Linked DNA regions of Oreochromis niloticus. The protein of the gene in region 1 purifies or fractionates together with the protein of each later gene. This does not show direct contact. Links are inferred from orthologs where the notes say so. Each region holds a gene or a part of one and is shown on either strand. Other genes may lie near its edges.

Evidence for each region. The genes of interacting proteins can lie anywhere in the genome.
Region 2: the proteins of grb2b (region 1) and lrrk1 purify together in Homo sapiens (affinity purification with mass spectrometry; 4 studies listed by BioGRID and IntAct, with this or other methods). This does not show direct contact. The link is inferred for Oreochromis niloticus from reciprocal best matches to the Homo sapiens genes GRB2 and LRRK1.

What each region holds. Positions count from the first base shown.
Region 1 is NC_031969.2:8,810,580-8,818,669, forward strand, and holds the start of grb2b (growth factor receptor-bound protein 2b), read left to right. Parts: upstream 1-5,067; 5' UTR 5,068-5,239; intron 5,240-6,650; 5' UTR 6,651-6,832; coding exon 6,833-6,910; intron 6,911-8,090. Other genes in the region: mchr1b (melanin-concentrating hormone receptor 1), read right to left, coding at 512-1,539, 1,732-1,795. UniProt on the Homo sapiens protein: Non-enzymatic adapter protein that plays a pivotal role in precisely regulated signaling cascades from cell surface receptors to cellular responses, including signaling transduction and gene expression.
Region 2 is NC_031965.2:4,655,250-4,662,550, forward strand, and holds the start of lrrk1 (leucine-rich repeat serine/threonine-protein kinase 1), read left to right. Parts: upstream 1-4,244; 5' UTR 4,245-4,810; intron 4,811-5,373; exon of another isoform or gene 5,374-5,443; 5' UTR 5,444-5,533; intron 5,534-7,301.

The DNA.
Region 1 (8,090 bases):
ACAACATTGATAAACTTACAGTGCACAACACAAAACAGTGACAAATCTGCACTTTTCTGCTACCACGACGTAGTAATTTAAGACACATTAAGTATAACACAGCTGTGTGATGAAGTTGGCCTTACATCAAACCTTTACAGAGATGCCATACTGATAAATCAAGCACAGTTTACACAAAGTGAGATTTTTAAAAAATGGCACATGTCAGCTGCAAGTTGCCTATTGTTCCTTTTTTCATTCTCATTCTTTAAAAATATGGCGACTACAGTCGATACATTTATTCCTCACAACAAACATAAACACGTCTCCAAACTTCACCGGTAATATCACCACTTGGCGCATTAACGCAGTGTGTGTGGGATAGAAATTCCTTCTCTTGTGATGTGTTGATGTAAACAGTGGGTGCTTTCCGAGGAGGGAGGGAAAAAAGAGAGACGTCTGTACTGGCAGATGGCTCGTTGCTGGGGGTGGTAGTTAGCACTGGTCACGGGTGGCCAGATAGCTGTCAATCTCAGTGCACAGCCACGGTGACGGGCAGCATGTTTTGGAGCAGTTCCCGCGACGACTGCGAGCGGGATGGATGAGAGCTCTCTGGCGCCACCCTCAAACTCAAGCCTTCAGCCTGAGCAGGGGCGACTCTGAAGCCTCTGTGGGGTGGCCGAATAGCTACAATGAACTGCCTCTTGAAAGTTTCGCTCAACACAATGTAGATGAAAGGGTTGATGCAACTATTGGCATAGCCCAGGCTGATGGCAATGTTGTAGACATACAGGAAAGCAAAGCTGGGCCGCTGTACTCCGAGATGGGCCAACTGGAGGATATAATAAGGTGCCCAGCATAAGAAGAAGGCCAGGCAAATGGCCACTGCCATGCGGGTCACCTTTCTTGTACGCACCCTGAGGCTGCGCTGGGGTAGTGGAGCAACTGTGGCTGACATATTTTGGAGAATCTTGAAGAAGACACTGCAGATGACCACTAAAGGGAGAGCAAAGCCCAAGAAGAACTGGTACAGGGTGAACCAGTATGTATCTGTGGCCGGGTTTGGGAGCAGGAGGGCGCAGCCGACCGAGCCGTCCTTGAGACGCATGAGTCCAGTGTACATCCAGACAGGAGTGATGGAGACCAGAGAAAACACCCACACCAGCGCCACTGCCGCCCCTGCCACGAAGGGGGTTCGAACGTGTTTGAAGCGGATGGGGTGGACTGTTGCCAAGTAGCGGTCCAGTGTCATGACAGTCAGGATGTACGTGCTGACGATCTGGCTGTTGGAATCAAGCGCCGTGATGACGGTGCACATGGTGCCACCGAAGCACCAGGAGCCATTGCCCACGAGCTGGTGAATGAGAAAAGGCATGCCAAGGAGAAAGAGGAGGTCTGCGATGGACAAGCTGAAGATAAATATGTCTGGCACTGATGGATGACAGCAGAACTTGGTCTTTTTCACAATGGTGTAAATGAGAATGCAGTTCCCAGTGATCCCAAAGAAACAAATAACACCAAAGATGCTGGGCATGAGCACATTGTTGTACTGCTCATGATCTGGTAGAAGGGAAAAAACATAATGTTCTCCATCAGCTTTCTTTCCTTATAACTTTTTTTTCATTCATTTGTTTTCAAAGTCTCAATAACTACTTTTTACATGAAAATGAACAACATAATATTCAATCTATGATGATAAATCTGCATGCATGTGCCCAATTCAACAGAAAAACGAGAAGAAGAAAATCCTACCTTTTTCCAGATTGTCAGGTGAGCTGAGGTATGAAGAAGATGAATTCATAATGTAGTCCTCCATCCAACCTCGAAGAATAATACGAATATACTCTAAAATAACTTATATATCAGTTTAAGGCAAAGAAGACAGATGAGCTTGAGAAAAAATGCATATTTTAAATATACATATACATACAAAAATACAGCTTACACTGTTGCTTTATGGCTTTGATAGCAGAGGTTCAGCCGCGCGCGCATGTTTTTGTTGTCCAAGACACTTCAGCAGGGCACGCGACAAATAAAATGCGCGCGCTCGCTTCAGCTCTGAGTCTGATATTTGGCAACAGCGAGATAAAGTACTCCGCAACTCGGAGACGCTCAAAAATCATCATTCTTATTTCTAATTTTGTGTCGTCACCCACTGAACAGCTGTGAGCTATACTCTCCGCCGCCAGTGTGAGTAATACTGGAAGTCATTCTTGAGTGAATACCTAATGGGCGATTTCCTCGCTTCATTCCACCTTATTTTCTTTTAAAAAGCGTTAGCCGTCCGACCACATAGCTTTATCATTCACAATGCCGTTATGATGGAGGTCACACGATAGGTTATCAGTTATAAACAGTCTAATTAATTGTCTAACTGAACAGTGTCACTCTCCATATTGTTTGCTGTGTAATATTTGGAAAAGATACGCGCATTTCTTATCTCAACTGTGCGGTATTAACATGTGACTAAGTATTTCTGGTAGCAACCCTTACGTGGTTAAAGACAGAAAGAACCGATTTTTGTTTAGTCCCACTAGGTGGCAGCATTGTCAAAGCCTGCTGTCACAGGCCAGGATTAAAAGCAGATGTGCAAGAAATGAAAACAGGAAAACAGAAGACCAAATATTCCAGCAGTTAGCTAAGTAAAGCTTTATGAGATGGCCTTTATGAGAAGCCATATGGATCCTTGAACATAATATTGAGAAAGTTGCATTCCTGCGTTCTCTAATGTGTCCCTTTCTCTTGTTTTTGTATATATAAATATTGAGTGTATATATTTCTCCTTTTAGCTATTGGGGCACAGTTGGTTTGGAGCACCCACAATTTCGTTGTACATGGACAATGACAATAAAGGGCTATTCTATTCTATTCTGTTCTATTCTATAGTAGTAGAATAGTCCAACTGTGTTTTGTCTAATTAATTACACTGCGGCTAAAATGGATGAATCTGTGTCCTTCATTTCCCATTTCAGACTAAATCAGATGGACATAAATGCATCTAAGTGAGAAATGTGTTATGTATGTGACTATAGTTAACAGTCATAGTAGTTAATTGTAGTTTGTAGGATAATGATAGATATGGGTGACAGTTTTGTGGCCGACTGCAGACAAGGGAATGAACTAGGGTGTGGCGTTGGTAAATGTTTAGTTTACAATGAACTGGTCATGTTCACTTCTCTCCCTTTACATATTTGGCGGTCCTTTTGTCTTGTCAGCTATGGTGTTGACATTCGGTTAGGGGGTTTAAAGTAAACTAGAAGATGACCAACCTACAAAGTTAAGTCAGGACACACAGCTGAAAAACTCAATAAGAGTCTGTGAATGAATTAATGCATAGCCATCCTGCAGCTTGCCTGTGACTGAAAGAGAGACTCAAGACCTGTGCTTTAGAAAAGGATCGGGGCCTAAATGAGACAACATCACAAGTTTTCAGGGCCATAAAGGTTATTCACTCATTGGAGCAGGTTATTTTCAAGATAACAGATCAACACTTACAAATCCAAAGCCTACTGACCAATCAGGTCTCTCTGAAAACACTGTAGTTATTCCCAGAAGAGCCCACAGATCAATGAGTTGTCAATGAGATGGTCTCAAATTTCTAGCTTTCCATTAGGATCAATAATAAGGGACTTTATCACTTGTTTTATTTTTTTGCTTCCTCCAAGCCCTTTATAGCCATTTCAACTCTACATGAGAGTCCTAAAGTATTGCAGGCTCGTTGACCTTATATGCCTTCTATTCACCACAATTATGATTTTTTTTGGCATCTCACGACCATTAGACACCACAGGATTTTAGCTGAAAGAATACGGATAAACATATTGTGCACACGACATGATGATGATGATGATAAATCTTTATCCGATTTTGGGAGTATTCTTTTGTTACACAACTGAAATGATGAATAATAATATATTAATGATGGTGATAATATTATCTGGCAGGTGCCTCTCTGTCAGATATATTGTGATAGCATGTGGCAGTGGAGCTGAATCAGTGTTAGAGAAGGTGGTCATCGTTTTTGCTGCATACACTGAAGGATTTCAGCTTCTTCGGGAAAGAGCCATCTCATCCTCTTCTTTTATACGGCTTCTTTGTTTCATCTTCCTATTTAGTCTGTTGTCAATGTGGATGCCCAGGTACTTTTAGTCCTCCACCACATCAACATTCATGTAACCATCCTCTTCTTTCTGAAGTCGATCACCTGTCTGGTCTTATTACCACTTACTACCACTTCATATCATCCTATAGTACTCTATACTCCTCTTCCGCCTGCCCATCACTAATACACCCAACCAGAATCAGATTATTGTCATCAGATTATTTCTATAAGTGCCATGACCTGCAGTTGTACTGAACGTCTGTGTACAAACTACACAGAAATGGGGACAGCAGACTCTCCTGTAGAGCTACTATACCTTCACCAAATCAGACAAAGCCCTGCCTAATCTCACAAACTGCAGCCTGGCTATCAGGTAGTCAGATGGATTACTTGTGGACAAGTTTACTCACATTTCCTATAGCTTTTCTTTCAGTAGCAGCGGCTAAATCCATTAAGTCTGATCTGTTCACAGGTAGTGATGTTAGTGATAGTACTGGCTTGCACAGTTGTCATCTTTTGCCAGCTTTCCTTCCTTTGGTTGCAGCTGAGTTTCTTTCTTTCAGCTCGGATTACATATTTTATTTCCTCTTTTTCTCTCCATGTTATAGTTTGTTCTTCTTTTGAGGATTATGAAAGCAGTTTGGTTCTGACCATGCTGTGGTGTCACTGCCTCTTGGATAACCTTTCAGAGTGCCGTTTTCACGTGATCAGATGGTGTAATTGCTGACGTTAGGTTTAGTTAAGCCAGATTATTTAAAAGTTATCTTGGCTAAATTGATCTCAGTGCCTTAGTCACGTGGTATAAATAGATGGTATTTAGCTGTTGATTAAAAAAAGAAACTGAACGATTTAGAGTGAGTGAATCTTAACAACTAATATGTCTCTGTGAAAAGTAATTTTCCTTAACACTGAAAAAGACTAGCAGGGAGGAGCTTACTTACACGGAGGCAGATCCTCCCAGTTCTTTGGAAGGAAGCGGAAATGAGCGTCATAAACCTTATGCTAGTGGCTAGTTTTTTAGGCTTCTAGGACGGGTGTAAGCGACACCACACGTACCTTGCTGGTTGCCTCTAGAGGAAGCAGGGAGTGGATAATTACACGACAGAGTTTTGCTGGTTTTTTATACAGTGGCACTATCGAAACGGAATATCTAAAGTGGTGAGTTTTCAGTACTCGTTGTGTCGGCACAAAAGTTGTGTACTGTTTTATTTGCTAACGCTGTTTTAGTGAAGTTCAGTAACGTTAGCTGGGCTAGCAGTAGCAATAACAGCTTGCGCTATGTTTAAAAAAAAAAAAAAAAAAAAAAAAAAAAAAAGCTGTTTTCTTCCTTTTCACATTTGCTAGCGTGAAACTAGCAACTAGGCCTCGGGTGCTAAGAAACACCCCACACTTATTTCAGACCAGCCACCAGCTTTAATTGATGTCGATGTCAGATGGTCCGGTGTGGAAGAATTGAGGTTCGGGTTTGATAACCATACTGCATCGCAGTTATTGTTGTCCGACCGTTAGCCGGCATGCTAGCTGTAGCGTTCTAGAACAGTGGGCGCAGTCTGTTGGCTGGAACGGAATCGATTCACTCGAGCCCGACTAAAAAAAAAGCAAAAAGCTGTATAAAACCATGCTCTGTTGCTCTTCATGCCCTTTTTGAAATGAAAAAATTCCACATAATTTTCACACTAATATGTGCGTGTGAGAAGGTTGTCATGTTTAAGGTTAGCTACAGTTTATATCTGCCTTTGGACTTCAAGCTTCCCTTTTTAATACTAAGCCTAATGCCACCTCTGACAGCGACGAGCCCTTTTGTTCTTTTGTTTTCAGTAACGCTGACTGGCAAATGAGTTGTTTGGCGTTTTGTTATTGTAAAAAGACACAAACGAAAGCGAATGTAGTAACGTTTTGGACTTGACGAGTCGGTGACGGCAATTCGTTTTCTCTAGAAAAATATGTCGTGTGTCGTTTGTTATTGCCTAACAATTAGGTTCTCAGAAATGAAAAGGAAATGCAGATTTTCAAAAGAGGAAAAAAGGATTTTTCATCCGTTTGGTGTTTCTCTGTGGTCATCTGGTGGGCTGTCAGGTTTAAAGGCCTTATTAGACGCACGGTTGTATTAGCGAAAGCCCATCAGGGCTGTACGGTAGCATATTAGCAGCAACTTAATTGGATAGCGTAACTTTATCTGTTTAACTAAATAGCCGTAGGTAGGTTTAGCCAGCGTATCACTGTCATCTCTGCTTAAGTAACCACCGTCTTATCTTTGATCGGGCCAGGTGGTTGGCTGTCTGGATGGGCTGTTGAAATTGACACTCGATGGAGTGAACTTTGTTCCCTTATCCTCTGATAATTTCTGGTTAGAGGTTTGCCACTGGTCATGAAATTGTGCTGTATTTTAGAGGCTGTTCAGAGGTCAAAGGGGATAAAGTTGAATCGTATGGCCAGTATGCATTTTTAGTGAAAATTTAAAGACTAAAAATGCAAAACAGACAATTTTAATTTTGCTTCTTGGTTTAACATTTGCCTGTCTACAGTTTTAGTTTTTCACGTTAGGTTTTTTGGTTTGTTTGTTTTGCAGGTACCTTTCTGCCACCTTTATGTGAGGTCTCAAACCTAAGGGAACGGGTCATTGACGGGAGGAGAGACGCAGAGAAAGCATTTGATCACAGAAGCCTGGATACGTGTTTTTAGTTTTTTTTCCCCCTCTTCAGTCACTGAAACGGCTGCAGATAAGCAGTTTTACAGCACGCTATAAGGACCATGGAGGCCATTGCCAAATACGATTTCAAAGCTACTGCTGATGATGAGCTTAGTTTCAAGCGTGGAGATGTCCTCAAGGTAAGTGACAAGTATTTGAGCATTAAATGTTCAAATTTGTCTGTTTTGCTCATAATTATGAAACTTTGGAAGGCGTATTCTTGCCCTAAGGTTTTGTTTTTATCCATTACTGGCACTGTTGAGTAAAAGTGCCATTAAAGTTAAATCTAGGCAGTAGTGGGCTATTATAGAAGGAAACAAAATCTAACACATCAGGTAGTTTGGGATGTAGCTCAATATCCAAAGTTCACCACTATCATGTGATTATATGCTTGGTAATTACATTTGATGGCATAACCTTTATGCTTAAATGTTTCTGCTATTTTTAAAATCATGAATTATTCAATTAAATTTACTTCTGTTGCACCAAATCACAACAACAGTTGCTTTAAGGCACTTTATATTGTAAGGTTAGAGCCCTCTAATGGTAGAGAAAACGCCAACAAAGAGACAATTATTGTAAATAGACATCATCAATGTGACTTTTGAGAAGTCACAATAAGAGATGAAAGCTGTAAAGGTTTCTTTTATGGACTAGTAATATAAACCTGTGGTCAAGTCTTCCTCATCACAGTAAATTGCTTTTATGGGCAAGGTCTGCTTTGCTTTGTGATATAGGTGGATGGAAATTAGGGGCAATAACATGCAACATGCCAAATTTTGTAGTTTACTTTTGGGGGTTGGGGGGGTTGTTTTTGTTTGAGGTTTTTTTTTTATTTTGTTTTTTTTATCATTTAGTTTTACTTTGCAGTCAGCTTTGGCGGACGAGTTGACGGTTCTGTCAGGGGAATGGGTGCTGTTTTCCCTGAAAAAGAGATTTGAGCAGAGAGTCTTGAAAAGACTTCTTATCACAGCAGGAGGGGGGAGGCCTAGAGGGAGAGAGAAAGTCGGATTAGGAAACACTGAGCTAAATATAAATTCTATTAAATTTGCATATGAGACGAGGAATTACTGAACTTTTTCACTAATTTCTACTGCTGGCTGTCTTGTCAAGCTTTTCACCAGATGGCTGAGTTCCATCCAAGAAATTAGTAGGAAATGTCTTTTTTTATTTTTTCTTTCAATTTACATAATTAAACATTAAATACATGCATTAGTGACTGGGAACGTCATGTACTTCTATAAAAGACACTTAGAAAAATCGAACACATACGGCAACATTTTATTTGGGGGGGGTTTTGTTTTTTCTTCTTCCTTTTTC
Region 2 (7,301 bases), on another chromosome or scaffold:
ATATATATAGTTACTAATGATAAAGAAGAAAACACACAACAAAATAGCTGCAAGGCCCTTAGCTATGTTCAATAAAGCAAAGATTCTCTTTCTGTTTTTATACACTGGCGGGGTGTGGTTTGCGGCTCTGCTGCATAAGAGGGGTGGTGCAGTGGGTTGAGGGGGGAGCACCATAGAGGCTGGCAGGGCAGGTAGGCTGGCACTGATTGAGTAACTTAAACAGTACCAGCCGCAAACCACACCTCGCCACAATGTATAAAAACTGTCATGATCCTGGGTCTTTGACCCAGTGTTTTGTGTTTTCTATTGTTGTGATATATTTTGGTTTTTGGTTCTGTTCTTCCTCAGTTTAATGTTTAGTCATTCTGTCTGTATTTTCCTCTGTGTAAAGTCCGGGTTTCTTAGTCTGTGTCTTTGCATGTGTGAGTTCCTGTTTTATTTTGTAGGGCTGCGTCTCTCGTTTTTGTTTCTGGTTTCGCTTCCCCTTGTCTCGTTATGTCCAATTACTCCCAGCCGTGTCTTCCTCCTGTTTCCCATCCCCTGATTGCCATGTGTGTTTTTAAGCCCTGTGTTTTCTGGTGTGCATGGCTGGTTTGTCTGCGTTATTTGGTGTTTTCTGGTCTGTGTATCTCCCTCCGTCATCCTGTGAATTTTCCCTGCAAGTTGCTTTCACTTGTGTTCAGGTTTTGTTGTTTAAGTTTAGTTCTCCCAGTATAGTGTGTTTCTAGTTCTGTTTCTCGCCGCTCTTTTCTTTGTTTGTTATCTCACCGTCACAATAAAGCTCACTCACTTCAGAAGCTACCTGCATCTTGGGTCCTTTAATAATTCACATGGCTTGCCCCGCAAACCGTAACAAAAACAGAAAGAAAGTCTTTGCTGTATTGAACATAGTCATGAATAACTAACAAAAAATGCAATTTCTCTTTCATTTTCTGTTCTCAGTGGCAATAGTATACACTGTTGTAGATTGGGAACCACTTTACATGCTTTACATCTGGCTGATGTTCACTAATACGTTCCTGTTTCTTTGGTCCAGAGCAATGTATATTCAGCTTTAAGAGCCAACAGGAGGCCATAGAGAGAGCAAATAACTCACACACAGTATGGCCTAGTGTCAGCAGGCTTTACAACAAGTGTGGACAAAGCTTTATCAGTGTCTGCAGCACTGGAGACTGGCACTGTCTGGTAAGTCCCTTAAAGTCCCTGTTTATGGTCCTAACAGCAAAGGGATGTTAAAGTTTGTGTAAATGAACATGTAATGTACTGGTTAACTATAATGTTAATCTTTGCTTATTTCTACTCAAACTGAAAACCAAATAATTAAATATTAGTAAATGGTTTATTTATTTGATTTATACCAGTGGTTCTTAACCTGGGTTCGATCGAACCCTACGGGTTCAGTGAGTCGGTCTCAGGGGTTTGGCAGAGCCTCCGCTGTGACATGCACACCTCATTTTGTGCACCAGTAAAAAACATATCTATGTCTTGAATTTGAAAAAAATCATATTTTATTTTTCACTTAAGAGGGGTTCAGTGAATGCGCATATGAAACTGGTGGGGTTCGGTACCTCCAATAAGGTTAAGAACCACTGCTTTATACCATGGATGGACTGTTGCAAAGGTTTGTATCTTTACTGAACACATGAAAGAACTGACAGTCAATAAAATGAGACCCCTCCCCCAGACTCCCTTTAGAGGGTATAAGCCTCAGCTGTTTCATTATTCATATGCTTTAATTATATTTATTGGATCTGTACTTTCTAACTTTTCTCATGTGTTGTCTCTGTCTGCTCAGTGGAGAATATGCTATTGCTGAATACTCTGAGGTGAAAACAGTGATGATCAAAGTGAAAGAAACCATCGGAGAAGAACTGGGAAAATCGAGTGCTCTGCACTTCCTGTCGCATGAGACCACATCACAATTCTCTAACACCCATACTGTTCACTCCAAGTATTCCAAATCTTCAACCCTATTTATAGTTTGGTATGTTTGTAGACTGCCAGTTCACCTTTGAACCTGTAGTTAAGGTTTCTTAGTCAGAAACTCAGTTATTCTCCACGGGAAAAGTACAAGAAACAGATATGATCTTCTGTCATGTGACTACATAGATGTGTCTGTAAACCTTGTCTGTTCTTTTCCTTACAGAAGGTTTTATGAGAGACACAAACAAATAAAACATCCACTCATCCAAAGTCATTTGTTTTTATTTGGGAGACTGGGCAGAAATACCATTCATTTACAGTATTCCTGATGTATGCAAATTGACTTTTTTGTTCTGACCCAATTTAATCTAATATAAATATTTGCTGCTGAGGAAGATGTTCATTTCATTTCAAATATAAAAAAAACAAATGTTTCCAGTACTACACAAGGTAATACTGACCTTGCCATTTACATTTTAGCACTAGTCATAGCAAGAATGTTATCATTGCATAGGTAGCAGCACTTGTTTTCTCATACTTTGTACTTTTGATAGAAATTCAGAATGAACAAAATAAAATACAACTTTTGTGAGCCTTTTATAAGAATGTGATTTCTTTATATCTGAAGAGGCTTTAAGGAAGTTGACCAAATGAACAATAGTGGAGAGATATGAAGGACATTTATGACAGGTCATTAATTCATTTGATTTGTCACATCTTCCAAGGATTGACTGTCCCAGCAAATTAATTCTGAGGTGAGACCATGTGATTAAGACTTATTTGAAAGCGTTTCTTCTCTAAAAAGAATATGGCAGCATGGCTTAGGTTTGCAAAATGCCATCTGATCAAGCCACAAGACTTCTGCAACAATTGTCTTCAGACAGACTAGACCAAAGTAAAGATTTTTTAGCCATAATGCACAGTGCTACATATGGTGAAGCCCAAACACAGCACAAATACCTCACATCAGCTGTCAAATGTAGTGGTGAAAAGGTGATGATTTGTTCTTGTTTTGCAGCCACAGGACCTGGCTCCTTCCATTTATTGAGTCAAGCATGTTATATGGGACCATATGCTTTAAACACATAAAGCATATTAAGGATTGTACATTAACATATTTTATTGTGAAAACTGTTGTCAGAACCATACTGAATTTAACCAGATAAACTTCTCCAGTCCAAACAACATTCCGATGTCACTGCTGTATATCCTGGTGGTGTGGATCAGTGAATGTATGTCTCTGGCTGATGATTGCTCCATTTCCTAGTCGGCAACCAGTCTTGTTAATGATCTCACTGAGGGGGTTCGGGCCCATGCAGAACAGCAGTGGACACAGAGCATCTCCTTGGTAGATCCCGCATTTGGTGCTGACTTTAGCTATTGACTTGAAGCTGGCCTCTGGTGTTGTACATTGAGTTCCCCGTGTATATATATATGTATATATATATACATATATATATATATGTGTGTGTGTTTGTGTGTGTGTGTGTTTTATGTGTGTGTAGAGAGAGAGAGAGAGAGATCGTATGCATAGTATGTAAACGGCTAACAAGCAGCCATTATAATTCGTCATACAATGAGAATAGGAGACAAATCAACAATCAGTGTCTGTCTACTGCTTACTAAGATTGCCAAGTGGCTAACAAACGTAAACAGAAATGTTATCTTGTTCAGGATACATGTCATACATAATACCTGCCATCATCCAATGACATATCTGCTTACCTGTATCTTTTGCTAGTTTCTCCTCCTCCTTTTCTCTCTTTTTTTGTACACTGAGCACCTGATGGCTTTAACCTTTTCTTGTCAATCTTCCATTGGTGTTCATCTTGCACTCCAGTATCAACACCCATCCCCAAACCCGAAAATCACCACAACATAACCTAACAGACCTACACTTTAGTGCAGAGATTCGCACAACCCAGGAAAAAATAATTAATACATAACAGGCTTGGATTGACAACATTATGAATGAAATGTGCTCCATTTGGAAGCACCCCCCCCCCCCCCCCCTTTGGACAGGTTGTGTGATCGACCTGAACAGCACAGCATCAGCAGCAAGCAGGCGCACTGAGGGCCATCGCGCTCACTTTTCGCATATGTGTGTGATAGAATTTAGAAAACACATCGGTGCAAATTATAAATCTATATCATAATGTATTCTGTTTTTGTGGTTGTTGGTTTGTTTTTATTTAGTTTTATTTTGCGAGCTGGTTATTAAATGCCGTACCAGCCAGCCAGAGAATCCCTCGCCCCTCCCTGTGCGGCAAGCAGCAGGCGCACCTCGAAAATGGAAGGCGCCCATGTCGCCCATATCAAAAACCGCCACTGTGTGAGGCCATCTGTCCACGAGACCAAGCTTAGGTTAAAATTGGATCATGCAACAAAACAACGATCCCAAAAAACACTATCAAATCTGCAGAATCCTTGAAAAAGAAAATGTCAATTTCAGACCTCAGCCGGACTAAAATGTTGTGGAACGAGCTGAAGAGACCGGTGTGTGGAAAAATAGCTGGAAACCTGAATGAAGTGATGCAACATTGCGAAGACGTTTGGGCCAAAATTCTTCCTGAACTATTCGAGAGATTGATAAAGTCTCTCACATAGGAATTTAAAGGTGTTTGTGCTAAAAGCGTTTCTACAAGCCTTTACAACGCTTCTGGACCTTATTTTGAAAAACACATCAGGCATCGATATTATTTTGAAAATTAATACCGGAAATCTCTGTGTTAAACAACCTGACTGCTCAAAATTCGTCCGGAGTGGAAAGTTTTTATCGTGGAATCAGGAAGTCCAGTAAAAGATTGTTGTGAGGTAATCCGCGGCTGGTATATACAGCAAAGCTGCAAAACCCTCTCTGTCTCTCACTGGACCTTTCAGGCATGCGGTAAGTTGGATATTAATGCTGTGCCAAGATGTGTTGTGTCTCATGGTAAGCAGAAACCAGTAACTCAGTTGTCGTGATTTGTCTGATTAACTCTTTTTTTTGACGGAGTTACTGTTAAAACAAACAAAACAAACAAAAGTAACAAGGGTGTTTTTCAAAGTCTGACCCATTTTCTGTGACATGTCCCACAAATGAAAGCACCTTGTGTTCCAGCAGTCATTATTGTTATTGTTATTATTATTATTATTGTTATTATTCAGAAGTTGGCAAAGAGTATAAAAATTGCTGTACCACACAGCAGAGACATGCACAGACATTTGCACTGTCGGCGGCTACAGTCACAGTCGTTATACCTCATGTTGGCACTCCAGACTAAAGCTAGAAAATGCAGCATGGAACACATGCAGGGGCCTGTCCTTCCAGCTTTCTGTTGCCTGAGGTATTTACTAAGCACAGTTATAGGCCATCTTCCTGATGCGCACATGGATGTTTGGTATTTCATGCTAGATAGTGGTTATGACTCCCACTAGTCCTCGGTCTCCTCCTTTCTGTTTACTGTATAGTCTCAAGGTGCTGGACTTGGGGTGAAACTCTGTAAGGAGCTTCCTTGTCAGTGCTTCCTATGGCCAACAGGGTATCTGACTACGGGTGTAGGCGTAGATTGCCCAGATCTTGTCCTTCCCAATCATCCGACTTCTCGGGACATTGCCTGACCCTCCGCAGGTATTTGGTGTTTGTCGCTTTCCTAGTAGTCTCTTCATGGTTCCCATTTGCCTGTGCGATTCCAGGTGCTTGTAGCTGTCCTCTGTGACTGCAGTGTTGTCTTCTGGTTGTGCGATCCCTCAGTTTTGACTATTAACAATTGCTGTAGTCGGTAGAGCAGGGCGATATGACCAAAAATATTTATCACGATATACATTTGAAATTTTGCGATAACAATATAACTGACGATATAATTGACACTAGGCAAAATACTTTACAACTCCACAACTTTAATAGTGCAAAAAAAAACCCATCAATGTATTTTCACTTAAACAAGCAGCTGTTTTTTATGTGCATTAAAGCTATATAAAAATTTAACAGTGCAAATGCAAATTCCTCGCTGACAGTTTAACAAAAAGGCATTTCCAGTGGAACTTGGCTGACATATCCTGAGCATAACCATGTATAATATCCACAAAACTTAAAAAGAGGTTATACACACACAATATGGTAATATTATGTTGAAGCACAGTACGTATCACTCGGCGAGGCTCCTGCCTACGATAGCCGTAATGCTCCGACAATCTATCAAGCAGTGCGGGTTTGTAGCTTAGCAAAGTCGTACTAAAACATTTGACAGATTTTTGAGCGCTGTGTATCACATTAAATCGTTTCGAGGTCAGTAAATGCAACCAGAATTCACACATAAGGCACACGGGATTATAAGGGGCACTGTCGATTTTCAGAAAAATCAAAGGATTGATTCTAAGTGTGCCGTATTTTCCAAAAAACACCGTAATAACGACGGCCCGCTAGCATGCTCTACCAAAAATAGTGCTTTGTTGTGTATCTGACAGATGAAAGCTAAACCAGTTCCACATCACTGAAGTTGCAGCATTTTTACAAACCAATTCTGGTTCATCCGTTTCATTCAACGATCCGCTTTCCCCCTTCTCATTCTCCGTCGCTGCCGTGCTTTTTCCGCCATGTGCGTATGAAATCAAAGGCACTTCGCATGCGCGTTTTACCCATATTCTATCGCGATATTTCATTTTCTTATCGTTGCCCAACATTATACCGGTATTACCGTGAACGGTATGATATGGCCCAGCCCTAGTAGTCGGTGTCCATAGCCAGTCTTGTCAGTGCCCTCGGTCAGGGGTCAGGCCTATGCAGGACAGTACTGGTGACAGGACATCTCCTTGGTAAATCCCGCACTTGATGGCGACTTGTGCTGTTGGCTTGAAGTTGGCCTCTAGTGTTGTTCGCGACATCCCCATCCTTTTACTGCTCTGCTCATATAGTGAGCCATATGTCTGTTTATCTTAGGCACTATTATGCCTGATAGGACATTACATGTGGTCCCGAGGCAGGTTATTGGCTGTTAGTTAGATGGAACCGGTCCCTTCTGGGGATCCTTGGGGATCAGAATTGAAACACAGACACAGCAGCTTGGCACCCTCTCTACCTCTGTGCCCCCATCAAACACAAGTGGTTATTGATGATGTGAGTCCTGGTAAGAGTAGTAGGATAATCCTACAGCACCATACTTCTTGCTCATATTTAGCCATATCTTGTAAAATGGATAGGGCAACGCTACAATGTGCAAATAGATGACACTAAAACAAACAGCAGAAGCAACCTAAGAGTTTCTCAAGGTAAAAAAAAAAATTGGATTTTAATCAGTTAGTCATCTAATGTCAACACGATAGAGGCGTGCTTTTCAGGCGTGCCTTCAGTTCTGCCGACAGAACTGAAGGCAGAGAGAACCGCAAGCAAGGAACAACAG